Tamandua tetradactyla: one gene and its partners. The main gene of each other region encodes a partner of the protein of the gene in region 3 in a complex. Links are inferred from orthologs where the notes say so. Each region holds a gene or a part of one and is shown on either strand. Other genes may lie near its edges. The genes, in order: MED26, CCNC, MED8 and MED24.

Region 1 (7,939 bases), on a different chromosome or scaffold from region 3:
AGAAAAGAAGTGAAACATGCCCCAGAGCCTGCATTCTAGTCAAGAAGAGAGAGCTCGTACTTGAGTGAAACAACAGCTTTGGAGACACACCAATGCCCCATCACCTGCTGAGGACACTGGGCTCCGATGGCCAGTGGACACACTGTGGCTTCTGGGCAAGAGAACGACAGGACCCTCGACTCCATTCACAAGCAGGAATTAAGCTGGGACAAACTGCACGCTGCACGGCTGAACATTTTCAGCGCTCTAGGTTAACGCACAGCCCGAAAAGAATAAGGCTTCAACCGGTCTGAAAAACTGAGAACTGCTTTTTGAAAAAGAGTGCTGAGGATTTACTTTTTCTGAGTGGGCAGGAAAGTATTAACTCAGAGCCTGCTGCTGTAGAAATTCAAATACTCCAGAGGCTGGAATTTAGAACAAAAAACAACTTTCCTCATAGGAACTCATGAAGAAGGTAGTCAGGAAATGTTACTCTGTTAATTCTTGTTTCTTCCCCAGCCTTGCAGATACTTATGGATACTAGGTCAGCTGTCCAAGGTTGAATTTTCAAGCAAAATCTAAGTTTCTTAACCATAACTGTGTGTCCATAAAGGTAAACATTATATGACACAATTTTCATCACTTCTCACAGAAGAGGTTTAATTTTAGTGTGGGCTCTTCAACACTGTCCCCATTTTTTTTTCCTACACACATCTTAAATATGTGTCAACCACCTATCCAGAACTGAAATTCCTAATTGGGCAAGACAGCCACGTGGCAGCCATGCCGAGGCTGGGACCCCCGCTCCCGCCCATGTCCAGGCCAGCCGGGAGGTGCTGCAGGCCCATGGACACACCAGGCCTCCCCACCATCCCCTCAACCATCTCTCCAGGGCTGCGAAGTTTCTGCATGGGGCTCAGGCAAAGCCACATTGTGGTCGAACCCAGTCACTGATAACACTTAAAACAGCCACTTCCATCGAGTTTCATGGGTTCAGAGACACAACTCCCCAACCCCATCCATCACCCTAGGACTCAACCATGCTATGACCAGAGTCAAAATCTGAATTCCAAACCTCACAATGCAACCGCAGATCTGTATAAATATAATGTTTATGCATATGCCAAGGCACACGAAATTAAGGTTCACTCTTTCTCTCCGCCCCTCGTTAGCCCCTCTCCCTATACTCTCCCAATCTGTGCTGAACCCTTTAGATTAGAGCCTTACAAAACAGTGGGGCCCCTCCAAGGTCATGGGCACTGATGTGCAGCGTCATGGCCCACATGTCCTGAAGCACCTCCTGACCCTAAGCTCTCCTAGGTGGCATTAAGGGTCAGCGCTACCATTTTAGCAGCCCCTTCTCTCCCGAGAGAAGCAAGCACATGAAATTCAAGAAATTACACTCTGGCTTGACAAAAGATGCAAAACTCACCAAAGCTACATTTTTCATGTCACTTGTTTTTAATATTTCAGACTTAAGAACCGCAGTAGCATCAGTTACTGCAAAAAAGGACATTCTGGAAGGTTTTATATAGCTTGTGCCTACTCCACCCCCAAAGTCATAACAAAACCGTACACATTTGCTTGAGACAATTTATCAGCAAGTCAATCTTAATGGGACCTGAAAAAGAGGGATAAGAGAATGACTTAAGACACCAAAGTCAGAGCCTTACAAAGACCATAATCCCTCAACTTCTAGCAAAACTGCACAACTGAGTGTGAATTATTCCCAAACTACCAGACCAAAACACACTGCTGAGAAGAAGTGGCCAGAGTCACAAAAGAACAAGAACTCTTACAGGGGAGAAAACAGAGTTACTTGGCCAAGCCCAAGATGATTTTCCTTCCATCTCCAGCCTACCACACAGTAATCTCAATGGCCACTTCCTAGTCTGCCAGCAAACGCAGAAGTTCAGTGCATCCTCCCACTGCCCAACCTGCACCTGCTCCAGAGAGAAGTGCCCCCTCTGCCAATGTGCCTCGGGGAGCACAAGGAAGAGCACAGCAAGTCCCCCCACACCCCCCCCCACACACACACACGGAGTAGGGGGTTACCTCTGCAAAACAGTAGCCTCTGGGGAGGAGCAACAGAGAAAGTGACAATCCTGAGACAGAGGTCACAAATCACCGGGCTGGGACCCCCAGGTTGGGGGAAAGGGAGGGGACCATGAGAGAAAACCACCACCCCTAATTCACCCCCAAAAAGCAGAGCTCTGGCCAGGTCAGTCAGACCCAGGAAGGCCACAGGAAGAATCCCACCTTCCCCAAGATCATCTTCCCACAACAACAACCCGAGAGGGATCCCACAAAGGCAGGTCCAGTCACAAAACGGAAGGGGACTCTGCCAGGGCCTGGGCACCAGGCTAGGGGCAAAGCAAGGAGGGAGGGGAGGAGAGGATTCCTTCCGAAAACAAGAAGGTACTCCCAAGCGTGAGGAGAAAGGACTTCTCTGATCACCCAGAAGGCCGACACAGGGCAGACACGGGCACCCCGAGTCATGCCCAGGACACCAGTTGCACCCAGACTGCTTCCCTCTCATGCCCTCACAGGGAGGGCTTCTCGGGGGTCTCAGATCCCAGGGTGAAGGCGAGGCGGGTGAGCCGCGTCCAGAGCAGCGAGGGTCAGAGAGCTGGAGGAGGAGGAAAGGCCGAGCTCTGGCGTCAGCCCCCGTCTGCTCCCTCCGCCCAGGCCGCACGGAAGCCTCGGCCTCACGTACCGAGCGCCGCCGGGCTGCCCGATCTGTCCCTGGCCTGGGCTCAGGGGGGCGAGAGGCCGGGATGGCAGCGACCGTCCGGGGGAGGGGGGCGCCGGGCGGGTCCCCCGGGGCCGGGCGGGCGAGGGGCACGGGGGAGGGGGACGAGGAGGGTCCCAGGCCCACGCGGCCTCGGTCCCGGCCCGCGAGGTTGGTACTCACGTTGCTCTGGGGGTCGATGGCCTGCAGCAGCCGGTCCCTGATCTGCTGCGGAGACGCCGGAGCCGCTGTCATTGCCTGGGCGAGGCGGGGGGGAGCGGCAGGGCCGGCGGGCGGGCGGGCTGAGGCGGGGGCCGGGGGTCACTCACTCGCCGGCCCCCGGGAGCGGAGCCGCATGTTCCCTGCGGTGCCGGGGCACTGGGGACGCGCGGGGCGGCGGGGGAGGGGAACCGGGGCCGGGACTCGGGCCCGGGCCGCCGCCGCCGCCGCAGGAGGAGGAGGAGGAGCCGCCGGAGCCGCCGCCGACGCTGCCGCCGCCTCGAGAACCAAACTCCAGTGAGCTGCCCCCGCGCGGAGCACTGTGGGTAACCCGCGCCGTACGCAGCGTCGGCGCCACGCTGAGGAGGTTGGGAGATGGGGCGGGCGGAGACGCCGGGCCAGGGAGGGGCCGCGCGCTCCGCCCTGCCCTACGCGTCGGCGCACGCGCGCGCAGGCGCACTCGCCCGCCGCCTCGCCCCGCCCCGCCGGCCGGCCGAGGGAAGCCGTTGGGAGGCGGTTGGGCGGAGCAACGGCCACCGCCAGCAGGCCCCGCCCCCGCCCGGGCCGTCGGAAACGTTCGCGGCGTCCTGGCCGCTGCTCCTGAGGTGCCTGCGGCGGCGCCGGGCTCTGCCCGCCGAGCTGGGGGTGCACCAGCCTCTCAGAGCCCGGGCCGCGCCCCTGCGCCCCAGGCGGGGCTCTGCCACGCGGGCCGGGCGGGCTCTATGGAGCAGCACCGTGCCTCCGGCCACCGGCCGCCCCTTCCCCGCGCGGGACGGCCCAGACGGCTCCCGACGCTGCCCGAAGCGCCCCGAAGGAGGCTTAAAGGACCCCAGCGCCTGCCTCGCTGGGAGACGCCGGAGAACTGACGTCCTCGTTCCCCGGCCCACGCGTCACAAACGGGGCAGCTGAGGCCCAGGGTCGCCCAGCGGGCGCGGGCAGAGCGGCCCCGGGAGCCCGGGACGGCGGGAGGGAGGGCGGCCGCCTCGGCCGGCAGGAGCGCCGCGTCTGCGCGCGGGACGAGCCCCCAGCCCCCGCCGGCTCCGAGCGCCGCGCTCTGCGGGCCGGAGCTGGGCCTCCGGGGGTCGCCGGCCTCGCCCGCCAGCCCTGCCCGGGGTCCATTCCGCGTGCCTCTTCCTGGTTTCTAACTCAGATGAATAACAGCTTACACATGCATAGATAACGATAGTGCCGTAGAAGTAAACCTTTTATTTTGTGGGGTTCAAATTAAGAAATATTGGAGAATACAACTCACCTGCTCTTTTTAAACTAGGGAGAACCTTAACCGTGAACCTGCGTGAGGGCGCTGACCCGCCGCCCTATCCCCAGGGCACGTCGGAGACTCGGGTAGGTGAGTGAGCACGTCAGGAGCCCGTGACCGTGTGCATACCCACACACACGTGCACACCTTCGGTCCCACGGGCCTGGCGCAGCGAGACTCGATGAGTTTTTCGTGATGATTGTATAGATAAGACACGCGTGGATGCACACACGCACACACGGTTTTACTCCGCATTTAACATTTCACAGAGAAGGGGGAATAGATGAAATAAGACAGCCGCTGGACAGAAGTCCTGAAATGTCCGCTGCTTCTCCGAAGTTCAGGACGGACCTGCTTCAAGGAAGAGAGACTTCCAACGGCGCCTGTCAGTTATGCACAGGTGGGGCGTGATGTAAACCCTCTTCTGGTAATAGTTCTTCCCTGACCATGTGACCATTATTTAGGTACAGAGACCAGTGGCCCCAGTGTCCTGAGAGGACAAGATCTTTTGTGCTTGGAATGCCCCTGAAAGGGGGAGACGCCTCTTCAAGAGCAGCTCCAAGAAAGCAGAGCCCGTGGTTTGGAGTCCGTGACCGGCTAATGCCCTGGAAAGGTGGCTGTGGAGGAAGTTCCAGGAGCACGAACACAGGGCATCTGGAGACATACTTGGCAGGAGGGGACTGGGGCCCAAGCAGGAATCAGGAGATGCACGAGCAGAAGGGCACCCCGGCTGCCAGGGCTGCGCTGGCCCAGTCCTCAGCAGCGGTGCCACGTGTTGCCAGGAGCCATGGTAGGAGGGCACTCAATACTTCCCTCCTGCAGAGAGCAGGGCTGTGCCTCTCCAGACTCCCTCAGCCGGACCCTGGGAGCCCTGGGCTATTTAGAGGGGAAGTTACTGGACTTCCCCCAATAAGGCAAGGGAGGACACTGGTAACTAGTAGGAAAAATGTGCCAAAATATACTACCCCACCTTGACCCATGTCTGTGGCCTGACTTTAACAGAGTAGTTATCACTAGCAAGTAGAATGACAGGTGATTTTTACTTTTTCCTGTAATTCTATATTTTTTAGAACAAGCATGTACTGCCCCTATTCGTCTAGTATGTCAAGCGCTGGGACCAGCCCATGATCTCCAGGAGGTGTCACAGCTCTTACCACCTGAATCTGGCACTAATCAGAAAGCATGCCAATATAACCTCCAAAGTGGAGGTGATGGATTTGCTGTCAGGTTGACATCAATGAGTGTACACCTATATCCAAGCAGTTTGTGTCTTCCTTAGTGTGGAAGCCCCAATTGTGGGTCATTATTGTTAGTAATAAAGAAAATAAAAGCAAGGAGTAGCTTTTGTTAAGTACATATCAGGTTCTGCCCTGAGGACTTCACATGGGGTCCCCCAGGAAGCCCACTTCCCCGTATGCAGGCCCTGTGCCATCCACTCCCCTTGACACGGCTGGACCTGTGATTTGCTTTAGCCAAAAGAATGCAGTGGAAGCGATGCTCTGCTTGTTCCAGGCTAAAGCCATAAGAAGTTCTGGAAGTTACCACCTGACCCAGCAATCCAACTCCCAGGAATCCTACTCAAGAAACCTGAAAGCATCCACACACAGAGACTTGTATGCCAGTGCCTATAGCAGCATTAGTCACAATAGCCAAAAGGTGGAAGCAATCCAAATGACCATCAGCAGATGATGGACACACAAAACGTGGTCTGTCCATTCAATGGAGTATCAATTAACCATAAAATGGGGCCAAGTTCTGGTCATGCGATGACATGGATGAACTTTGAGGACATGACGCTGAGTGAAAGAAGCCAGACACTGAAGGACAAATATTGTATGCGTCCATTCAAACAAAAGATCCAGAACAGGCAACCACAGAGAACACAGATGAGAGGTTACCAGGGGCTTGGGGGAGTCAGGTGTGGAAAACACTGCTTACTTGGTGAGTGGTTTCCATTTGGGGTGATGAAAATGTTCTGGAATTAAGATTTTAATGAGTGTTGCACAATTCTGAACATACTAAAAGTCACTGAAATTACACTTTAAACGGGTAATTTTATGGTATGTGAATTATAAATTGTGAATTAAAAAAAGAGAAGGAGGCCTTGTCACACCAAGGTGCCTCGTGAGAATTCTGGAGAATTCTGGGGGGCCACATAGCAAGAGGGGGAGGCCTGGGCTTCTGTGGAGCAGAACCAAGGAACCAGCTGGCCACAGGGACTGAGCCGTCCTGCCTACAGAACCAAGCCTAAGCAAGGGCTGTTTTCAGCCACTTAATATTGGAGGATTTGTAACACAGCAATAGATAAACCAAAACACAGTTACGACCGCATCCTCCAGTTACAGGTGAGGAGAAGCCTGAGGTTTACAGGTTACTTAACATCCCAAATGCAGCTGGGATCCCATGGCAGATCTTTCTGAATCAAAACTGTGCTCTCTGGCCCAAAGGCTGTGCAACTCCTGCTCCCTCTCCTCTCGACTTCTCTTTTGTGATGTGTCTTGGGCATGTTCCTTTTGCCCCTCACCTGTGCTGTGCCTGGTCTCACCTGCTTGGCTTCCCCAAGCTGCTGCATGGTTGGCATCATCTTGCTCCTCTGTTCCCAGAGCTCAGCAGCCTTGCACCTTGCCATGTCCGAGCACTCTGTCTACCCTGTGAGGCCCTCTCAGCCACAACCACTGCCACTTTTCCGGATAGACTTCTATCTCACCACCCATCAGTAGGTTTTCTCTGCTCCTGTCTCGCTGGATACCCAATCATCCAACTAAGTGACTTGGATTCTGGATTTTGGATGGTGACTGCAATGGGCCAACATCTCAGCGTTCCCAGATGTCTTGGGAAAAACACAAACCAGTTAGAGGCACTCCCCAACCCCACCCCTGACAGCAGACACAGAGAGGGGCTAGGGGGCTGATGCTGAAAAACAGGAGATGCCACAAGGGTGGCGCAGACAGAAGCAAAAACTAGAAGAGCCTCAACTGGCCAGTGGAACTTCTCAAAACTGAAGGTGGGAATTGCATCCCAGTGTGAAAAACAATACGTTGGCAGGGAAGGTAAAGTGCTCCCACAGGTGTTCACATCAAACGCAGTTGGCTCTACATGGCTCAGGGACATGTGACCGGGGGGTTACCTGGCAAGTCGCTCCTGTCACGGAGAAGGCACTGGGTCCCAAAGGAAAGGGAGGACTTCTCAAGGCATGGGTCCACACCCCCGTGCGACTCCCCAATCTGCAGAGCTATAGAGGTGCAAAGTCTTTTCCTGTGTTTGCAGCAAGCTCATCCAGTGGCAGAGGTTATCTTCTTGACTTGGCAACACAGCATCGATGTTCCAACGGGCACATGTTTTGCTACAGAAATATTACAGGGATCATGGGCAATAAATAGGGGGGGTCCCAAGCTAGGACTCTAAACTCCAGAGAGTTCTAAGTTCTGCAATGCCTATGGTGCTCCAGCCTTCAGAAGAGGCCCTTCTGTAGGCTGGCAACTGCCAGGCCTTTCCTTACACCATCTCACCGAATCCTCGTTGGCAACCCCATGATGTGAGCCCAAAGAGTGGTCCCCTGAGCCCAAGATGGCCAGTTCCCTACATCTGAAGATTCCAGTGAGGGAAGCAGCAGTGTCGACAGAAGAGAAGAGTCCAGGCACCTGGGTTCACATCCAGCTCTGCCAATGACCCCCGATGACTCCAGTGGGCAGTGCCCAGCCCTAGCCTCGATTTTCTCGTGGAGAAAACGGGACAATGCAAGGACTCCTGGT
Region 2 (7,500 bases), on a different chromosome or scaffold from region 3:
GTATTCTGATCCACTTTTTCCCAACCTGATTGGCTTCATTCTTATCTCTAACTGAAGCCTGATCTCTTTTTCAATTTACTTAACCATTGTTGTATGTGGCAATGCTGATTTTCACATCACAGAACTCCTTTCCTGAGTCTTAGTTGTTACACAGGTACTGAAAGTTCTAGGGAAATACCATGTTATACATATACATAGCACAGCCTCTCAAAATCTAAAAATAACAATTTTCTTATAACTGTTTTCTAAATGAAACCATACAATATTTGCTCTTTTGTTTCTGACTTATTTTGCATCACATAATGTCCCCCAGGCTCATTCACATTGTTGCATACCTCATAACTTCATTCCTTTCTGCAGCAGTACAATATTTGATCATAGGTTTACAGCATAGTTTACAATTCCATTCTCAGTGTATCCTTCAGCCACCTCCATCCATTGGGCATCATGTATAATGTCTAAAGTCAACAGTCCATCTCTTGCATTGTCATCACGTACTGGTATGATCATCAACAGTTTCAACTTTGGACAATTTCCATTGCTACCAAGAGAAAAATAACCAATAAACACACTCTCACCAAACAGAAAATCCAAACCTCCCCTTAACTCTTGTCCTTCCCCCCCCCCCCCACCAAATATTTACCCCTGGTATTGCTGTGTACTGTTGATGTCTTCCTGTTAAATATAGCCTATAACATGCAATAGTAGTTTTCCTGATATTATAAACTTTTTGTACAAGATTCATACCTCTGCAGTAGTTCATGCAAAAACTTATTTATATTTGTAGTGTTAATTGGTGGGATACATGGCTCTATCCAACCTTTTTCAATCACGTTCACCTTCAATATGGCAATATCACTTACAGACCCACTTATGAACAGCCTTCACTACTATCCATTCCCTTACATTTAAGTTCAACCTCACCAGCTAACTGTTCACCCATCTCTAGCTTCCATGTATCTCTAGGTCCCCTATATTCTGTATTATAAGCCTCTGAGTTTACCTTTATCAAGGTCATAACAGTGAAATCACACATTAACTATGCTTCTGTGTCTGGCTTCTTTCATTAGCATTATGTCCTCAGGCTCATCCATCTGGTCAGGTGCTTCAGGACATCATTTTGTTTTACTGCTGTATAAATATTCCATTGTATGTATATACCACATTTTGTTCATCCATTAATCTGTTGATGGGCACTTGGATTGTTTCCATGCTTTGGCAATTGTGAACAATGCTGCTATGAACATTGGTGTGCAAATGTCTGTTTGTGTCAGTGCTTTCAGTTGCCAGGTCATAGGGCAACTCGGTATTTCATTTTTTAAGGAGCCACCAAATGGTAGATCCTTTTTATAATTTCTATATTTTTATCAAATTTTTCCTTTGCTTCATTTATCATTTTCCTGAATTCTTTTAGTTCCTTTTTCATATTTTCCTTTAGCTCATTGAACTTATTGAGGATAGCTGACAACATATTTTTGGTAGTAGTTCCAATATCTGAACTTCTCAGGAATGGCTTCTATCACTCTATTCTATTTCTTTGAATGAGCTACCTTTTCCTGTTTCTTTTATGTCTTCTGATTTCTCATTGTAATCTGGAGTTGAACTTTTAATGTGCTAACTCTGGAAATCAGAGTTATTCTCCCCTTTTTCTAGGTTTTTTTTTTCCTCTTATTAATACTGAAGGCTGTAGTATTATGTGTTTAGGGATTTTTTTCCAAACCATGCAAAAATTATATTCTTTGACATGTAAAGTCATTGAAATCTCTGTTCCTTTAGCTTATATTCAGCTTGTGGAAATATGGAGATTTTCTTACATAAGGGAGCCAAGAAAACAAAAGAAATAACAGAAAAATACACCTCACCCAGTCTTTGCAGATTGCTTTCATGCTGGGACTCTCTTTCAACACTCAGCCAACTTTGCCCTGAATCTAAAGAAGAGTCTGAGGAAGATGCTTTGGGTCCTGTCAGGTTTTTCTGAGCACGTATCTAGCCCTGTGAGTGTGCAGGGCCTTGTACATCCCCCCATATAAATGGACACTTCAAATGTCCTTCTTTCCCAGGAAATCCTTCGCATCCTTTCCTCCCAGGCCCAGAAGCTCAATTGTTTATCTCATCTGCATAATATTTTGCCTCAAGCAGACGTGCTTTGATTTTCTTAAAGTGTTTCAGTGGCTATGCCTGCTGCTTCTCCATCTAGATTGAGTTCTGGGTGAGACAGAGAAGAGCACCAGTCTTTCAGGCTGCCATCCAACACCATAGAATAGACATATATACACCCTAATCTGTGAATAAGAACAGAATCAAGTGGTAGTCCAGTGACAGAAACAAAGTCTAATAGGAGCCTAAAGATTAATAATACTGATAAATAATATATTATTAATATTTTTTTGGTGATGCCAGGCCAAGGAAAAAACTCTAAGATATTTGAAGAAATGCTGCAACCTTTTTGAAGCAGCCTATGGTCTGGTGTTTCTTAAACCAGTGTCTTACAAAATTTTTTACTATGATCCACAGTGTAGCAGACAGTAATGTTCATCACATATACTACATGATCCTTTACATTTCTCAGCCTCCTTTGCAGTTAAATTGGAGTCATGTGCCTATTCTGGTCAATGAGCTGTTGGAGGAAGTGACTGTGTTGTTTTTGATTAAAGGTTGCATACTTTCTTTAGATAGATTATAAGCCTGAAAGCAAAGAATGTCAAGATGGAGGAGTTGTGCATGGGACATGACTCTCAGGGGTGTGGACCTTCCTGGCAACGTGGGACAGAAATCTTAGAATGAGGTGGGACTCAGCATCCAAGAATTGAGAAAAACCCTAGAATGAGCTGAGACTCAGCATCAAGGGATTGAGAAAATCTTCTCCACCAAAAGGAGGAAGAGTGAAATGAGACAAAGTGTCCATGGTTGAGAGATTCCAAACAGAGTTGAGAGGTTATCCTGGAGGTTATTCTTACGCATTAAGTAGATATCACCCTGTTATTCAAGATGTAATGGAGAGTCTGGAGGGAAGTGCCTGAAAATGTAGAGCTGTGTTCAAGTAGCCATGTTTCTTGTAGATGATCGTATAATGATATAGCTTTCACAACGTGACTGTGTAATTGTGAAAACCTTGTGTCTGATGCTCCTATTATCTACCTTGTCAACAGACGAGTAGAACACATGGAATATAAATAAAATAAATAATAGGGGGAGCAAATGTTAAAATAAATTTAGTTTGAAATGCTAGTGATCAATGAAAGGGAGGGGTAAGGGGTATGGGATGTATAAATTTTTTTTCTGTTTTCATTTTATTTCTTTTTCTGAATAGATGCAAATGTTCTAAGAAATGATCATGATGATGAGTATGCAACTATGTGATGATATTGTGAATTACTGATTATATATGTAGAACGGAATGATCAAAAAAGGAATGTTTGCATTTGCTTGGTGTTTTTTGGTATTTAAAAAAATAAAAAATAAAATAAAATAAAAAGATGGAACAGCTGTAAGATAGAAACAGACTAGTTCCCTGAAGATCTGGAGGACTCCACCAAGAAGGGCAAGCTCACTCACTTTATGGAAGTCACATATAAAAAGAGACTTTATGGAAGTCACATATAAAATACTTTTATGTTAAATCATTGAGCTAAAGGGGGAAGGATGTTACCACATTTTAGCCTGGTCTAGTTTATCCAGACTAACTCACACAGTAATATATGCATTTCACATCTTGGAGCACTACATATGTCTATACATAATTGAATAAAAAATTGTAAAATGACAATTATCTTTCTTATTTCTGACATACTGTGAGCATTTCTATTCTACTTAATTTAAAAAAGTGTGTGCCACATTCACTAAAATAATTTCACATCTTATTTGTTCTCACGCTGTGGGAAAAATGTCTAAGTTGCCTCGGAAAACTGGTCTTCTATGAACAACTTCCAGGTGTGTCCAATTATTTAGAAAAATAATTAGTTTTGAAATAAATGCAATGTTACAATGATAATAGAAAAGGAAAATAAAGAAACATGATTTTATTTCATCTTATAAAATATTGCATTTTTTTTGCAGTATTTCTCTTTAATGCACATATATATGAAAATGTTTGGGGATGTTCTGCAAAACTGGTGGGTCTCAGGTATAAGAAGAAAACACTTGCTCTAAAAGTTTGCTCTTTTATCACTCCAAGAATTCCACTAAGAACGCATGGGGTTTGATGCCCGCGGGTCTTAGTAGGTCCGTGAAGCCAAAACAAAATTCATTTATTTCTCTTTTCAATCCCGCGGGGGATTAAAATCTAGTTAGAAAATTACCGTGCTTTATTACAATAACATCGAGAGGTCCTGTAGGCTTTGGATATAAACTAACCAATCAGAGCTAGACGCTTCTCCCACGTTAGCCTAGCAGAAGCGCCAACCTTACAGGCTTTAGGCCCGAATCTATGAAGCTCTCGCGAGAGCCTTCCGTCCGCCGTGACCCTTCGTAAGCACCAATACCAACTCCGGCGCGGCCACATGTCGTCTCCTCCCCGCCGGTTTCCTCCGCTACCATGGGGCGGGCCGGAACTTTTGTCCTTAGGAACGCGTTTACGCAGCAGCGTGTTGTCGGCCGGCATCTATGAGAACAAGGTGCCGTCCTCTTCCTCTTGCCGTAGCCGCCGCGGAGCGGAGCCGAGCTGATCAGATAGAAGAGTGCGGTTACCCGGCGGGCTGGGTCTATGGTCGCTCCGCGGGCCGCTCCGCCGGCTGGTGTTTTTTTATCAGGGCAAGCTGTGTTCCATGGCTGGGAACTTTTGGCAGAGCTCCCACTAGTAAGTGTTCTCGGTTTTCCCGCCCAGGGTCCGCTTTTGGAGGGCGATGAGGATGGGGCCTGCCACTTCTCGCAGCCTGGATCCCGGTTCTTGGCCCAAGCGCGGCAAGGTCTTCCCGAGAGGTGGCAGCGGCCGGAAGCGGGATTCGCTTTTCAGAGGCTACTCTCCTCTCCCCGCCCCCTGACCGGGTTTTGGGGGAAGGATCTGTGAGCTGAAGAATGGGTCTAGGAGCGATCCCCGGAAAGCATGGTTAGGAGTGTAATTTAAGGTTGTTGGATTAGCTAGGCCCGTGGGGATAGGATGGTATGAGCACATGTATGGAAAGTGTGTTTCAGTTCTGGACTGTGAATCTGGCTCCTCAGGATAGGTGATGCTCGCTTTTGCTTGGAAACTCTCAGAGAATGGGACAGTCGTTATCCCTCTTCTCTTGAGTGGATTTAATAATACTCCAAGGAGAGGAGGGAGTCCAGTTTGTTTCTGCTCGTTAATTGATTCCTGCCACTACTCTATGCCTAGATGGAGTTTTATGCTGGTAAGGTATAGGGCAGGTGCTCTGAAACTGTATCTGTTTCTTTAGTCTGTCTTGTATTTTGTTTTATAAATATATTTTCCAGTGATTTTATATGCCGATTTCATTAACCTTTTTCATGAGTAGGTTTTTGTTTCTGTCAGCGACCATTGGAAGAGCTAGAGTAGTATTTAAAACATTTCTCTCTGAATACATTTGTTTAAGCAGGTAGGAAGATGGATGATGGACTTATTAAACATTGATTAGACTTTCCATGTGTAGGTGAAAGATGAACCGAACCCGATAAAGAAAAATGTATCTTAGAGTAAGTAATTTTTAGTACTTAGCATTAGGAACTGTAACTTTAAGATTCTGTGACTAATATCAGTTCTTTTTGTTCATTTCCCTCTCCCCCCTTTTTTTGGCCCTTTACAGAGGGGGAAAAAAGGAACAATGGGCTTGGAAAACTGTTTTCAGAAAAGCAGGTTTTTCTCTTATCCTAAAGCGATTGGAGATGAAATGTTGTAAGAGCTACACTTCTGATTGTTGCCATTTTTATTTTGTGTTTTCCACTCGCTGAAATAATTGCTTGGGCAAAGTTAAAATATAGAAAGTTTAGTCTACTAAACTTTGTAGACTTTGAAGAAAGCTGAAAGAACTGTTGATTGTGAAAAGTTAGAGCAGTTTTTCAACTTAAAAAAGTAGATCCTGCCCCCTTTTTTGATATGCATTCTTAATATGATTTTATTTGCTGTTGTCCTTATTAAAACAATCGTTTTTTACTTCTCGGATGCAAAATTATAATGTGAAATGTGCTTTTTAAAAACCGTACCTACCTCCCAATTCAGTATTCCTGGGGGAAGGAACCTCTTTACCTCACTCAACTCCCTTAAGAATCATGGAGTCCCTGATCTGCAAAAGGTGACAAGTATGAAAGACAAGACAATCAAGTCTGGAAAAACAGGATTATGATAAGTCACTGCTTTAGGTACACAGCAAAGATTTTGGTGAAAGAGGAAAGTTGACATGCATCTCTGAAATCAGCATGGCAATTTTTTTAGTAGCACATGAAATAATGCTGAGTCTTACAATGAATGGAATCCTTGATTTGAAGAAATACAGTATTTATTAATTTGTTTTTTCCTCCCTTTAAAGTGCTGAGGGGAAAACTTTTTAAAGATTTTGTGAAATTTATCTCATAAAAGGACTTTGTGGAGATAAAATTAATGATAATCCCAGAATAGAGCACATCACATTCTACTCCAGAAAATTTAAGTAGAGCAAAACACATCTTCTGATGATACGGCTGTGAAACTGGCACTAAATAAATGTTTGCTGGTTGCTCAAATAAATGAAATGAGCAGGTAACAAAAATAACCAAATTTGGTTACTTTATTGTATCAAAAAGTAAACTGAAAATACAGTTACATTGTATCTAGAAAATAACATGAGATCAGTATATATCCATATCTATGGAACATAGCCAAAACTGAACTTTACAAGAAAATTAACATCCTGAATAAAAATAAGCCAAATACTCTATTTAAGATTATTAAAAATAAAATTGACATATAAACCTAAGGAAAACAGAAAGAAGGACTTAACACATACTAGTGTATTGAAAAGGGGAAAAGAGGTCAGATTTTAAGAGCTGGTTCTTTTAAAGGGAAAACTAAAACAGTAGACCAGAAACTATTGCTAGATGTATCAAGGAGAAAAAAGAATGTTCTAAAAATACAAAATGACATTTAATAAAATTTAGCATGTATTCTTGATTAAATTTCTTACTAAAACAGAAATAGGATGCTTCCTTAATATGATTAAAACAGCAAAGCATCAGCAAGAGATAGTTTAATGGTGAAACATTAGCAAAATTAGGGTACCTATTCAACATTCTGCAAATGCTAGTCAATGCAGTTAATAAAATGAGATAAAAACAAAATTATATTTAGAGATAATTAATTGGAAAACTGAGTTCATTGAAAGTTGTTAGAGACAGTACAGATTTCAGGTGATCAGTTACAAAACAAACTTAAAGGCTTTTTACTAAATAAATGATAGAAAAATGTCAGTCACAGTAGCAACAGAAAATATAAAGTACTTAAGAAAAAACTAATGTACAAGACCTATAGAAAGTTTGAACTTTAATATTATTTTTTTAAGTATTTGATGTTGTATGTCTGAAATAGTATGGCAT
Region 3 (7,380 bases):
ATTATTACAAGTTCTCCAAAGGAAAAGAATGAAGTTCTATGATGGCATGTAACAGAGTAACCTAACCCAGGGCAGGGTCTGAGGAAAAGTGACCTGAAGGTTGAGCATGGGTTGCTAAATGAAGAGGGAAAGGGTATTTAAATGAGCACTGTACTATTAGAAAACTTTTTTCAGATTGCAAATTTTTAGTTAGTAGGTCACTCCATTCTACTACCATACATCTTCCATTTTTCCACTTTGTCTCAAAAGTTATTTAGAATGATGAACTGACTGTCCAAGGTCAAACAAACTGAAGTCTAGTTCATAAATCAGTTCTATAGAATCTACCCTCTTGAAGCCAAGAGCATTTGTCTAACGCAAGCTTTCTAGCAACATTCTCCCTTCTACATTATCCTTCAAAATTCAACAACTATATTTTTCAAACATAATCCCTAAGTTCCCTTTATATTTAAGATGTAATTTATCAGAACCAGAAAACTTAAGAACTAATTTTAAAGCACCTAGAATGGCATTTTTCATTCTTGGGCTTATTAAAAATGCACATTCTTAGGCACCATCCCAGACCAGCTGAATTAGTTGATGGGGCTCAGGAATCTGCATTTTAGCAAGTTCCCCAAGTGATTCCTTCATATTAATGTGTGAGAAGCCCTAAATTAGCTGTGTTCTCACTCCATCCACATTCGTGTGCAGTTTCAAATCCCCAATATTTAATACTCCTTGAGTTCAAAATGCATTACTCTTAGAGCAGTCTGACAAAGAAGACAAAGTAGGGTTTTTGGGGTGTGAGATTTGGATTCAAATCTGGTTTTATTATTTGCTATAATAGGTGACTTTGAACAAGTTACTTAATGTTTCCAGGCCTCACTTTCTTCACTGATAAATGTGGGCCAGAACATTTACCTTGTAAGGATGTTGTTGCAATGAAAGGGGAGTCAGAATAATGATAAAAGAAGCCTATTGGGTCACGGTGGCTCAGCAGGTAAGAATGCTTGCCTGCCATGCCTGAGGACCCGGGTTCGATTCCCAGTGCCTGCCCATGTGTTAAAAAAAAAAAAAGACGACTATCATCCTTTGGGGCATTTATTAAGGCCGACATATCATTAATACCAGGATGAATACCACACTGTCAGGAACTGTGTTGTATACCATGTGCACCAGGATGAATGAAACCTTGCCCATCTCATTAGTTTGTTGTTTTTTTGTATTCCCCCCTATATGATTAAGGTCAATTAGTAGTAGTAGTAGTAGTAGTAGTGGTAGTATTTTGTATGCTGTATGGTGGGGGTAACGTTTCATTCTTTTTCCATGTGACTATCCTTTTATTGCAGCACCATTTGTTGATTTTTTTTGGGGGGGGATGCATATATGGGGAATCAAACCCGGGTCTCCTGCATGGCAGAGAAGAATGATCAATTATTTTTTTGAACTTTTTCCAACCTTTGTGCTATCTTCTGTTAATAGACTCCCATTGAAATAAGGTAGTTTTTTTCTTTTGAATTGTTTGAAGCCTCCTTGCCATTATATTTACGCCAAAGTCCTGAATCTCCAGCACAGAGTCAAAGGAATCTTCTCCAATCTCAGCCTCATTTCTCACCAATACACCTCCCACTCCTGTCCCCAGGTTAAGACCATGCACTCTAGTGCTAGAGCACATAGGATCAAATGCTGGTTCTGCTGTCTATTAGCTGCACGACTTGATAAGAGTTATTTAAAATGCTCATGCTTCAATTTCCTCATCAGTGAAATAGGGAAAATAGTACCTATCTCCTGGGTTTGTTAAACTGGGAATTAAAAGATACTTAGTAAGCACTCAATAAGTGTTAGCTATTTTCATTGTCACATTGTATCCATGCTAACAGCTGTTTCCTCTCAGTTCCCTGAAAGCTCCAAGCTTCTTCGCCATTCCCTTTACTGGTAGTGCTCCCTAAACTTTCTCATAGGCAACTTCCACCCATTAACTTTCTCATAGGCAACTTTCACCCATCCTCAGGCTTCAGTTTAAATGTCATTCCTCCAAGAGGTCTTCCCTGAATCCCACCCCCTACTTAACAGAGTAGTTAAGAGGCCCTATTAAACATTCTCATTCACTCTGTATTTTTCCTTTGCAGTGCTTATTATAATTCAGTATGTGTTTACTCCATAAAGATAGGAAATATTTCTGTTTTATGCAGTTGTATCCATCCTGATACCTAGCACAATTCTGAGTCTATAGCAGCACTCATGAAATATTTTAAGTCTTTGATGAATGAATGATTTTCTAAATCTAGGGCATCTCTCTGACTATGCCCAATCATCCTCTCAGGACCATAACAACCTCTAAAAGTCAGTCACATTTTTTATGCCCAGGGGCAGCTCTCTTCATTTCCTTTACCTTCTAAGATAAAATTTTCAGAAACTCAAATCAAGAATTCAACAAATGCCTAACTTTTGGCTGAATGGAAACTCCCAGGAATGTGTGTCTTAACACCAAGTTACTTTAGACCTGCACTGTTCAATACAGCAGCCACTAGTCATATGGAACTACTGAGCATTAGAAATATGGCTAGTCCAAACTGAGATAGATGTGCTATAAGTTTAAAACACAAACTGGATTTTGAAGACTTGGTACAAAAAAAGAATGTTAAACATCTCTTAATTTTTTATATTGATTATATGTTCACATGGTAATATTCTGGAAATAATGAGTTAAATGAAACACATTATTAAAATTACTTTCACCTGCTTTTTACCTTTTTATGCAGCTACTAGAAAATTTAAAATTATGCCTGTCGTTTGCATATGTCTTTTGGACACTGCTGCTTTATTAGATTGTCTGCCTAAAAAGATATGCTGTATCTCCCCACTATATCCCTCCATTTCCTCTCATTCGAATCCATCCCTAAATGCAGTCCAAATTGTCCCATGGTTTCTCTTATCATTATTATTTTTGAAGCATATGTGGGTTACTTCACCATCCCAGTGAACATGTCAGATTCTTTTGAATAAGGCATAATTTCTATAGTCAGTCTCATCCATCTCCCAGTGAGCCAGAGATCTACCATACAGGGATTACAATTTATTGTTACAAACATTATGGTTAACACAGGATCTAGACTTAAGCCACCTGATTTTGAGTCCTGCTCCTGGCTCACCATTTGCTACGCAACTTTGTTACTTTTATATCTCTGTGCCTCAGTTTCTTCAAATATAAAAATGGGGATTATATTTAATCCAAATATAAAAATGGGGATTTTATGAAAAAGCTACTTCATATACAGTTGAAAGAATTAATTGATTTGTAAAGTGCTTAGAATAGTGCCAGGCATACAGTAAGTATTCAATAAATTAATGACTACATTTATATTATTACACACATCCCAGCCCCTTCCCACCTACTAGTACAATCGCTTGTAAAACTCAGCACTTTTCCTGGTGTGGTTCTTTCCATATCTAAGAATTCATGCTAAGTATTATTCTAACGCCAAAATCTTCTACTACCCAGGTGAATCGTACTGGAGCAAGGTAGTTAACCGTTCTCACTGCTCAGTTTCCTTATCTGTAAATGAGAATAGATATCGTCACGTTCCACGCACAAGTACTGAGTGACAAAATGTATATAAGTTCCTTGTATAATAATCCTTAGCATCTAGTAAATACTTCAAACGCATTTTCTGGTGTAACCCATCTGATCCTCGCAACGCCACATAAGGTAGATACTTTACAAAGAAGGAAACAGGATATGGGAAGATAAGACTGGCCCGAGGTTGCTAAATGGCAAGGCTAATATTGGAACGCAGTCTTATTCGACTCAAATGTTCTTTCACACAAAGCAGAACTACTTTTCCAAAAACCATGAGTGCTAGAATTATATTAATTTATTTGCTTATGGCAGTACAACTTTTAAAGAAATGCAGACACCGGCAAAGTAAGCCTACTATCGTGTTGTCACTGAAAAAAAAACACTAGAAGTTCAAACCACGGGCTTTGTTAATACCACTAATAGAATAAAGAGCCCTAAAAGCATTAGACCGGCGACGCTGATGAAATTTCAGTTAAAAAAAGCACAAAAATTTCGCCTCGAGACCCCGGGAAAGCTGCAGACCGCGGTGAAACGGTTCCGTTGTCAGGCCTTCCGGGGTTGGGCTGGTCCCTGCCAAGGAATACGCTGCCGGGCCACCCCCAGGCCCCGAGGAGACCACGACAGCGCCTGTCCGCCGAACCCTCCCACTCGGATCCAGGGATCCAGCGCTGGGCCCGCCCGCCCCTACCTCCGGCTCCGGGTGCTCCGAGGCCATCACACAACCCTCCCTCGACTGGGAACGCCGGTCCACCCTCGACCCCTGACCCGGCTACTCTACCCGCGACAGGATCCGGAAGTGAGTGGGAGGGCTGAGTCCCAAGTTTCCTGATTGGTGAATGAAGCCCTTCCAGAGAGGCTCGCGGAGTTGGAAACCGGAAGAAGAAGTCGGTGCAGCCGCTACTGCCATCGCCATGCAGGTGAGAACTAGGTTGGTCCTGTTGACAGCCGGCGAACTTCGGTTACTGTAACCGAAAATGGGCTGGCTGAGGAGAGAGTGTGGAGTTCGCTGTGTGAGGCGGGGGCAGGGTCGGTTGCTGATGAGTAAGGGAACGCGGCATGGGGGACCAGGCAGACCACTAAGATAAGTGGGCGGTGCAGATGAGAGATGGGGTGGGGCCCGGCTGATAGGAGAGAGACTGCTGCTAAATTCAGAGGGAGGAGATAGCACTGACTTGTTTGGGTGTAGGAATGAATTAATTTGTAATGAAGAGTCAGAGATGCAGTCCAGAGAAGACTTCTCAAGAAATGGTGTGTTGACGCAGACCCTAGCCTAGGTTGAAATGGAGGCTGTTCTCTGTAAAGAAAACTGGAGAAAAGCCCGAGGGGGAAAGGAATTGTGGGGAAGCCAAGCCATTTATAACCGAGGCCGTGGCATCAATCCAGCATCAAGGCTCTTGTCAGGCATATTAGCGGGTTTGCAGGACGGTTTTGCATTATTTTTCCTAGGCGGTTGATTGTTAAGGGTGAAGAAATGGAGTAAAATAGGATGCCACAGATGGAAAGAAAACGCTTCGCAGACCCCAAGCGTTTAAAATTGCTCATCTAGTGCTTAGAAGCTGGTCATTTGTGGAGTTTCATTAGTCATTTAGTTTCTTGCACCTGGTAGTCTTTTAGTAAATGTTTTTAGGTTGAGTGAGCTTATGAAAGAAGCATAGGGATGCTGGCATATAAATAAACAAAATGAATGTAAATTGATTCAGCAAGAAGGAGTTTGAAAGCAAATAAAGAACTGTGTTGGAGGTGAAGCTTATGGGCAGGGCTGCTGTTCAGAGAATGCATCAAGTGTAGGCAGATTTCCCAGGGATGTGGTCAGTGTTAAGAACAGCTTACAAGGCAGATTGTTGGTTAAAGGAAGTTGATGTACATGTGTACAGAAGGCAATGAGTCCCACGGAGAATAGAGTACCTATTACGTAGGAAAACCAGGCATGGATTAGGAGGTGATGAGAGAAAGGAATCAGATGGTAGGAGGATTTGTGGTAAGGTGAATAGGTTGAAAGTTCTAAGGGTTGATGGCATCTGTAACCAAAATACCAAAGACAGAAAACAACCTGGCTCATCTCTGTTACCTCACCAGGTATTGTCATGTCTTCATCTGTGTATGTTGACATAGTACATCAATCTGGGTAGCCAGCTTTTTTTTTTTATTAATGCAGAGGGAAGAGAAACAACTTGAGGCATCATTAGATGCACTGCTGAGTCAAGCAGCTGATCTGAAGAACTCACTGGGGAGTTTCATTTATAAGTTGGAGAACGAGTATGACCGGCTGACCTGGTAAGAGTTGCCAAGGTAGGCTGGGGAGGGCTGTTTAGTAAGTGTGGAACTGGGCCTTCTGACAGGTAGGTCAACTCTGATGCTGTAATCATTTATCAGTTTGGAAACATCTTTTGATTTGTGAAGAGCTGGGTTTCCCAACATTTAACATTTGGAGTTTGGTTTAGGGCCTCAGTGGCAAGGAAATAAAGAGATGTCCTGTTTCCCAACCCAGGTTCTTGCTAGGTTTTGATTCTTACCCTCTATCTTTTCTGATTAGGAGCTTCTCTCTCAGCCTGTCCACTTTAGCTCTATTCATGCTGGACCCGTTGCCACAAACTGTGGCTGGGTCTTTTAGGTCCAGTCTTCTCTGGAAGTGTGGATCCTGTTCCAGGCTGAAAAAGCAGCTTTTACCAAGTTTCTGAGTTTTTAGCGATAGTAGTGAAGTTGTCGTTTCTATTTTGCCACTGTTCCTCAGCCCATTCATACAATGAACTGTCTTTTACCTACATCTTTGTCAGAAATTGAAACTGTGTCCCTCTTTCCTACATCCCTGTGAGCCAGTCTGGCTACTGCCCAAAATCAGTCATAGGGCCGTGAGTCTCTTTGGGATGAGCCTGGATATTCCTAGTCTGAATAGGGGCTACTTAGAGGCTACTTTACTGGAAACTACCTGAGGGAAGGAGGGGAACTTTCTAATACTTTCTTACTACCCCCAGGCCTTCTGTCCTGGACAGTTTTGCCTTGCTCTCTGGACAGTTGAACACTCTAAACAAGGTCTTAAAGCATGAAAAAACACCACTGTTCCGTAACCAGGTCATCATCCCTCTGTTGTTGTCCCCAGACCGAGATGAAGATCTTATGGTAAGAGGAGGAGAAAGGTACACTTTCGAAATTAAGTTCTTGATTGAGAGCCATGAACATAATTGTTGAATAGTTATAGAAGTTCTGAATATGGAATAAAGAGTGGCAATAAAAAGTGTGGGCTGGAGATGACTCCCAGGGATGAGTTCAACCCTGTACCATGGGATCAACAATTCCATCCTGACCAAAAGGGGGAAAGAAGTGTAACTAATAAAGTATCAGTGGCTGGGAGAGTTCAAATAGAGTTGAGAGGCTACTCTGAAGGTTGCTCTTACACAGGCTTCAGTTAGACATTGCTACCTATCATAACTTGCCAAACCCCAACCAAACCATTCCAGCCAATCTTAAAGAACACTTAGGGCAAAATATAAGATCCTACAAAGATTCCGTGCACTAGGGTAACTTTCCAGAAAACTACAACCTCCGGATGGGTCCCTGGACCAGATAACTCCTGAAACCTAGAAGGCCCAGCCTGGCCAGAACATCAGCTAGTTCCATCACCCTACTCCATATTACTGACAGCCCCTTCTAGCATGAAAGATTTAGCATGACCGTAGCCAATACCCTTAATGTGTAGGATAGAAAGATCAAAGGTGATGGTGGAGTAATACAGAGAAGGTAGGGTTTAACGTACAGAAATGATTGCTGAATCATTAAATTGATATTGTTTTAGTCTCCAGTATCTTATAGCAGCTAGAAGTAAA
Region 4 (6,886 bases), on a different chromosome or scaffold from region 3:
TGTGTACTCTTAAAACCAGCAATTCTATTTCTATAATAAAAAAATATTCCAAGACAGGCAGAAAGGTGAATATAAAGATGTTCAGTATAGTGCTATTTATAACAATAGAAAATTAAAAACAATCTAAATGCCCATCATTGGGGAACTTGCTAAATCACAGTACAGATGGAACATCATGCAGCATTTTAAGAAGAATAAGGTAGTTGGATGTGCACTAACATGGAAATGCACTAACAAGTAGACATAATGCCAAGCGGGAAAAGGATATGCAAGAACTTTGTATTCAGCATAAAGAAAAAACTAAACTACTGACATACGCAACAATATAGATGAATCTCCCAACACATTAAGTGAATCTCCCAACACATTAAGTGAAAGAAGACAGAGTATTCACATTTCTATGAAATACAAATATAGGCCAACAATAATCTATGGTAACAGAAATCATTTAGTGGTTGTGGGAGAAAGTAATGGACTGAAAGGGACACAAGAAAACTTTTTAGGAGAATGGAAATATCCTAGGTCTTATTTTTAGATGTTGGTAACATGGGTATATACAATTTTTAAAACTCATCCAATTGATTTTACCACAATAACATAAAAAAACTCATCAAATTGAACATAAGATCTGTGTATTTTATTGTATGTTAATTTAAAAATGCAAATCTTACCACAATTCCACTTAAAACCCTTTACGTGATTACCCATTATCCTAGGATAAAGTACAAACTCCTTAGTATCATTCACCAAGTCCTTTTTGACCTAACTGCTATCTTTCTCTCCAAACCAGTCTCCTTCTTGAACTTGATATTCTGGCCTAGAAGTTCTGAAGGTATGGTCCAGGGACCCCCAGGGGTTTCCCAGACCCTTTCAGGGGGTCCTAAAGGTCAAAACCCTTTTTTAAAATACTACTAAGATGTTATTTGCCCTTTTAACTCGCATTCCCTCACAACTGTACGGTGGAGTTTACCAGAGACTCCATAACATATATTATATAACAAAATGTGTCAACAATTGGAATACCTCTACAACTCAGTAACCTGTACTTTCTAAATGACCAATTCATGATATTACAAAATCACACATGAGCAGAGGATAATTCAAAGTGAGGTGAAGGGAGGGAAGAGCCCAATGTATTTTAATGTAACAGTATAAAGTTCATTGGTATGGTTTCACATCACCTACTAAATCTTAGTGTAGCTTCAAAGAATATACAAGTTGTCCAAAAAGCTTGTTAAAATACTCCCTTTTCTAACTAAATACCTATAAGTGTGAGGCCATATTTTCTTCTATACATTAACTAAGCAGCATATCATGACAACTGAGGCAGATGTGAGAATCCAACTGTTTTCTGTTAAGCCAGACATTGAAGAGACTTGCAAAAATGCAAAAACGTAAAACAATACCACTCACCTCACTAACATTTTTTGTTTTGGAAAATATGGTTATTTTTTAAAAAGATGTTATTTATATTGTTATATTTATATTGACCTGTAATTAATTTATTTTGTTACTTTTAAATGAATTCATTTTTTTAAGTTTCTCAATTTTAATTTCAAAAATGGTAAATATGGATAGATACAATAAACATAAACAAAAATTCTGTGGTGGGTTTCAATAATTTTTAAGAACGTAAAGCAGCCCCAAAACTAAAAAGTTTGAGAACCAGGGCTCTAGCCAAACCATACCAAACTATTTTCTGTTCTTAAACAACATCATATGATTTTTGCCTCTCAGTCTTTGCATATGCTTTTCTCTCCCCTTTGCATAGCCTCCTCAGTATGCTTAACTCCTATTCAATATTCAGGTCTTGGTTTAAATACCCCCTCCTTCAGAAAGCCTTCCCTGATTGCTGAGATTGGATTAGGTGCCTTCCCACATACTCCCGCAGCACTTCTTTAATAAACTCATCCTGTGACTGACAGTATTTACTGGTCTATATAACCCACTAAACGTGTGCTGTGGGTTGAGATCCTTTATCAGGTCTTGTCACAACTAAATCCCCAAGGCCTATCCATTGTCCAGCACATTATTTATTGACAGAATAGTGAATGCAATATTCATAACAACTAGTGAAGTATTACTATTTTCACGAGAAAACTGAGACTCAGAAAAGTGATCTGTTCAGACAAATTCACCTAGAAATGTGAGCTGACCATGGTATTGCAAGTTTTTTACCTCCAATCTCCCACTCCTTGAAGTAGGTAAGGCAGTTTACCTGGGAACTGATGGCGTACTTCAGGTAGGACAGGATGAGAGGGTTGGGGGAAGGTCCAATCATAGCCTGCTCCAGCAGTGCTTCTGCAAGGGGAAAAACAAAGACTGAGTGGTTACAATTTTTCTGGGTTCATCCCACCCTTCCTTCCTTCATATTTCACTTCAGACCTGCCAGGTTGAGAATATCCCAGGTGGCTCCTTTGGGGAAGAATTTCTTCATGTTGATTGCCCATTGGTAGTCACTCCATCGCTCTTTCCAGGCTTGTAAAATGGCTTGCTTCAGATTCACCACCTTCATAACTTCACTCTGAAGAGGCGCGGCCGCTAGCGGCCCCCTCCGAAGTAGGATAAACCGAGCTACAGAACAAGAGACGAAGTTCTTGAGGAAAATGAAGGGGAGGGCAGAGTTAAACGAAATAGACAAGACCAGGAAGATAGAAGGGACAGCAGGACTAGAAGGATAAAAGCGAAGGAGACAAAGTAGGGATCCTGTTAGGCTCTTCCCTCCCAACCTAACCTTTCTTGGACTGAGGCACTAGGAGTCAATACAAGAAGTAAAGCCAGAGCAGTAAGGGGTTCGGCCAGTTCCGGTTGTTTTAATTATACCCTTAGCTCCGACTGCGACCGTCACTCACTAGTACACCCAAAAGAGACACTTCATATGCCCCATCTTCCCCAGCCCCGAAACTGTAATTCACTGTTTCCTTTTCATCCATTAACTCCCCCAATTTAAACCTACCGGACAAGCCAGTTCAGAGCCCACATCGCGCCATTTTGGCACATGTCAAAGAGCTCGTTTCTCATTTGCTGGGAATAACAAGTATGAGCCAACAGGAATGCAGCAAGCGAAAGGCCCGCCGCGACGTCTGCTGGGAATTGTAGTTCCCGGGACTGGGAAATTCTTTGTCCGGGCTAGAGATGAAGCTGAGGACTAATCTAAAAGGCCTGCTTTGTTTCTCGCCTTTGAAGGAGAACTTCTAAGCTGGGCATCACAGAAACGTGGAGGGTGGGAGGCTCTCGAAAACTTGCCAGCAGTCAGGCGTCGCCCAACGACGTCACTGTCGACAGGGTATTTAAATCAGATTCCGCCACCTTTTCATCCCCCACTGGTTCATAGGCATAGTGGAGGTGTTAGTGTTCAGCAATAGGTTCCAACGCTTTCCTTATCTTTTTTTTTCCCTCTAAGCTCCTGGGTTACCAAAGTTTTCTCGTTTTCACGCCTGTATCCCAGAAGCGACACTGAAGTTCTGCTAGTTGCACTAACATACCCATTTCACCCCCCAAATCTGAGAGTCTTCAGAATCTCCTAACCCTCTATCTATACCCCTTAAATATAGGGGGTAAAGAGGAAAGGAAGATGGAAACGGAGATTAAGGTTATCAAAAACTAGAATTTTGAGGAATTGTCACAGCCAAGAGGGCCTAAGTTGATATGACTACTAAATGCAATGTGGCATCTTGGTTGTGATTCCGGAAGAGAAAAAGGGCAGTAAGTAAAAACTGAGAAAATCTGAATAAATCATGGATTTTAGTTACAAATAATGGATCCATATTTGTTCATTAATTGTAACAAATGTACTATATTAATGTAAGACTCAATAAAAGGGGATATGGGTGTAGGTTATGTGGGAACCTGCTGTACTATTTTTGCAATCTCTATATAAATCTAAAACTATTCTAAAATTAAAAGTTAATTATTATTTTTTTTAATTTTGATATCTCACTTATCTTAAGGAGTACTATTGTAGATAATTATGTCCAGCCCTTCTTTCCCAGCAGTGGGAAGGCCAAAAGCAAATGCCACGCACCCTGTAAACAGCCTTCAGCCTTGCCTTATCCTATGGACAAGACTGTCCCTAACATCTCCAACTAGGAACTAGAGTAAACATGTAGACCCCCAGTCAGTGGTCTGTCACCCCTCTTTCCTGCCCACTATCCCATACCTTGAGGAGGCAATCATCCAAGCTCTATCCAAACTTCCCAACAGCCATCCTTTAGCTCCCCTTAGGCAAAAATCACTTCCCTGGAGGATGAATCTGGGGGAGCTCTTTCTTTGGCTGTCCATTCCTTCTCAGCTCTGATAGTGGCTGTGTTCTCACCTCTGCTTCCCTAGCCCTGAGCCCCAACTTCCTCATCTTGTTGGCTTGACTGGCGGGGGAATGGATCTGGCTGGAGAAGAGGGGACAGCAAGGCAGAATAACATGGCAACATCTGGAGCAATGGCAGAAAAGGAGCTTGATCAAAGTGGGGGTGGGATGGGGGAAAAGGCTGTGAGGCCCAGGGATTTGGGATATCCAAGGGAAAGGAAACACTTTAGGCTAGTAGAGAAAAGAACCAAGTGTCTAGCCCCAAAAGCCCAAGAAAGATTGAAATACTTGGCAAGCATACAAGGCACAGAGGGTTTCATTTACTTTCATTCCATCGGAAAACTGCCATTACCCTCCCCTAACAGGAACATCTTTCTTTAGAAGCTTGCCTGGGTCTCACCACTATAGGAAGTTAATTGGCAGCAGGTGGAGGGAAGAGAAAACGAGTCCATCCCACACACTTATATACACAGCTGGCTCCAAACCATTTTCCTTCCCCCATCAGTTCCCAAATCCAAATCACAGCTTTCCAGCTATCTGGGAGAAAAGATGAGGGTGGAGGGGCCTAAAAGGTGGCTCCATCTCAAGGACAGCCCCTGAATTCCCCACAATTCCCTGTCCCTGACTTCCCACAAGAAGTCCAGAAAGAGACTGGCCAGGACAGTGAAAGGCAGAATTTGAACTAATCATGAATTGTTTCCTCTCTAACACCCTGGAGGACACCTTCTCCCTCCACGCCCCCAGCACACAGGGGGAGAGTGATAGGGAAGGGGGGCCAGTCTGCTACTTTCTTTGCACCACCCCTCCCTCCAGGCCCTTGTAACTCTTCTTCTTAAACTCTGCCTCAACACCAAAGTGATTCATCTTCACCTTCAACTCTTGTAGCAGGGATGCAGACCCTGATGGAAATAGAGACCTCCCCGCCACTTCTTTCTTCTGCTGGCAAAGGGAAGGATAAGGGAGCTCTCTGGGAAAGCAAAAACAGAAGTTGGGAAAGTTTGGGGGATCCAATATCTGGAACATATTAAACACTCAAAAAATATGTTCAGTGAATGAATACAGGGGGATAAATCTGAAAGGCAGCCTTGAGAAATTATCTTCTTTTTCCACTTCTCACCTCAGCTAGGGAAAAAACAAGGCTCAGCAAGACCCAAATCCCTTCCCTGGGCACCTCTTCATGAGCCAGGACCAGGGTGCCTGATGGGACAAAGGTGATTGAAAGGGGGGAATTAAGTGTAAAGTTGTGACTTTCCTCTTGTCTGCGTGATTGCTTGCTAATTTCCCAGTCCTTCATCTTTGTTGGACCTTTGATTCTCAACTCCACATAACTGTTTCGACCTTTCCCTCTCCCTCTCCTCTCCATTTCCATCATCTCTTCTTGATTTGGAGAACACTAATGGAGAGAGACATCTGGGTTTGGGGTTCTCTTAGCTGATGGTGTCTCATTTCCAGAGCACCCCAATGAGTGGGGCTGTGTCTGTGGAGCCAAAGGGTATCTGCTGTACACCTCCTTACCACATGTTGACATCACCCAGAGCCTAAGAGGTTCAAGCGAGATGGGAAGGGGTGGAGGAGGGAAATCGCCAAGGCCAGGGCCACAGAGCTCGTTCCAGGGCTGACTGGCAGAGGGCCTGTCCCTGCTCCCCTAAACTGCTTGGGATGTGCAAGGCTTCTTGGCAGGGATGAGGACACTGTGTGCGGGCTTGGATGCCAGTTTTGGGGAGAAGCTTTGAGAAGGATATCTGGACCCCCTGGTTCCTAGGGGTGGGACCCTCAAGAAATCTTGGGGTGCTTCCTAGCAACAGCTGAAAGGAAGGGAGGGAGGAAAGAAGGGAGGAAGAGAGGGAGGAGTCTGGGCATGCTGTTTCAGTGGGAGCCCAGAGAACAGGCTGTTCCTGCTGCCTCCTTGGCAACCAAAATCTAAGAGGGAGGGGGCTGTCAGACAAATCCCCTTTGAGGGTCCCTATCTATTCTCACTCATTTTCCACCCTCCCTCTCTCCCCACAGACCCAGGGCTTGCTGTGAAGCGAAGTAGGGGGATGGGAGGGGATGGTGCCAATGGAGACCTGGTGTGAGGTTCATGGCCAGTAGAGAACAGGAGCTGGGACTGAACAGAATCTGAGAAGAGCTGGAAGCTTCAAGAAACTGGGAGTGGGTAAGAGAGTGGGGTTGGGAAGGGGGATAGTGCAACCAGGGGCAGGGGCTGTAAACCCAACCTGGGCTGGCTCCTGGCACCTGGCAAGATGCCTGCTTTGGAGGCAGTGTGTCCTTCACCTTGCCTTTGCCTAAGTCTGCCACCAGCCCATATTGGGAGCCAAGGAGAGAGAGAGAAGTAAGAAGAAAAGATGGGAATGGTGAGTTCTTTGTGTTTGAGTTCAAGATGCCCTACATTGCCCCTGAGATGGGGGGGGGGGGGCAAGGGGGAAAGGTAACTCAGGAATTGCTTCCTTTCTACAGCTCTGGCTCTAGGATTTAAAAATGTCTCCTTTACCCAACATCTTTAGGAACTGGCTCAAAGAGAGATGTGGTAAGCAAGCCAGGATGGAATAAAGACAAAGCCACAGCCCTTCTTCTTCTCCCTCT

The links.
Region 1: MED8 (region 3) and MED26 share a complex: the UniProt entries of both Homo sapiens proteins name them as parts of the mediator complex. The link is inferred for Tamandua tetradactyla from reciprocal best matches to the Homo sapiens genes MED8 and MED26.
Region 2: MED8 (region 3) and CCNC share a complex: the UniProt entries of both Homo sapiens proteins name them as parts of the mediator complex. The link is inferred for Tamandua tetradactyla from reciprocal best matches to the Homo sapiens genes MED8 and CCNC.
Region 4: MED8 (region 3) and MED24 share a complex: the UniProt entries of both Homo sapiens proteins name them as parts of the mediator complex. The link is inferred for Tamandua tetradactyla from reciprocal best matches to the Homo sapiens genes MED8 and MED24.

What each region holds. Positions count from the first base shown.
Region 1 is NC_135337.1:95,127,180-95,135,118, forward strand, and holds the start of MED26 (mediator of RNA polymerase II transcription subunit 26), read right to left. Parts: upstream 3,008-7,939; 5' UTR 2,966-3,007; coding exon 2,894-2,965; intron 1-2,893. UniProt on the Homo sapiens protein: Component of the Mediator complex, a coactivator involved in the regulated transcription of nearly all RNA polymerase II-dependent genes.
Region 2 is NC_135331.1:157,138,828-157,146,327, reverse strand, and holds the start of CCNC (cyclin-C), read left to right. Parts: upstream 1-4,480; 5' UTR 4,481-4,763; coding exon 4,764-4,795; intron 4,796-5,598; exon of another isoform or gene 5,599-5,628; intron 5,629-7,500. UniProt on the Homo sapiens protein: Component of the Mediator complex, a coactivator involved in regulated gene transcription of nearly all RNA polymerase II-dependent genes.
Region 3 is NC_135328.1:180,671,002-180,678,381, forward strand, and holds the start of MED8 (mediator of RNA polymerase II transcription subunit 8), read left to right. Parts: upstream 1-4,368; 5' UTR 4,369-4,395; coding exon 4,396-4,476; intron 4,477-5,714; coding exon 5,715-5,833; intron 5,834-6,531; coding exon 6,532-6,676; coding exon of another isoform or gene 6,677-6,693; intron 6,694-7,380. Other genes in the region: KICSTOR complex protein SZT2, read right to left, coding at 4,248-4,274. UniProt on the Homo sapiens protein: Component of the Mediator complex, a coactivator involved in the regulated transcription of nearly all RNA polymerase II-dependent genes.
Region 4 is NC_135332.1:27,220,002-27,226,887, reverse strand, and holds the start of MED24 (mediator of RNA polymerase II transcription subunit 24), read right to left. Parts: upstream 3,021-6,886; 5' UTR 2,957-3,020; intron 2,944-2,956; exon of another isoform or gene 2,853-2,943; intron 2,597-2,852; 5' UTR 2,516-2,596; coding exon 2,386-2,515; intron 2,302-2,385; coding exon 2,219-2,301; intron 1-2,218. UniProt on the Homo sapiens protein: Component of the Mediator complex, a coactivator involved in the regulated transcription of nearly all RNA polymerase II-dependent genes.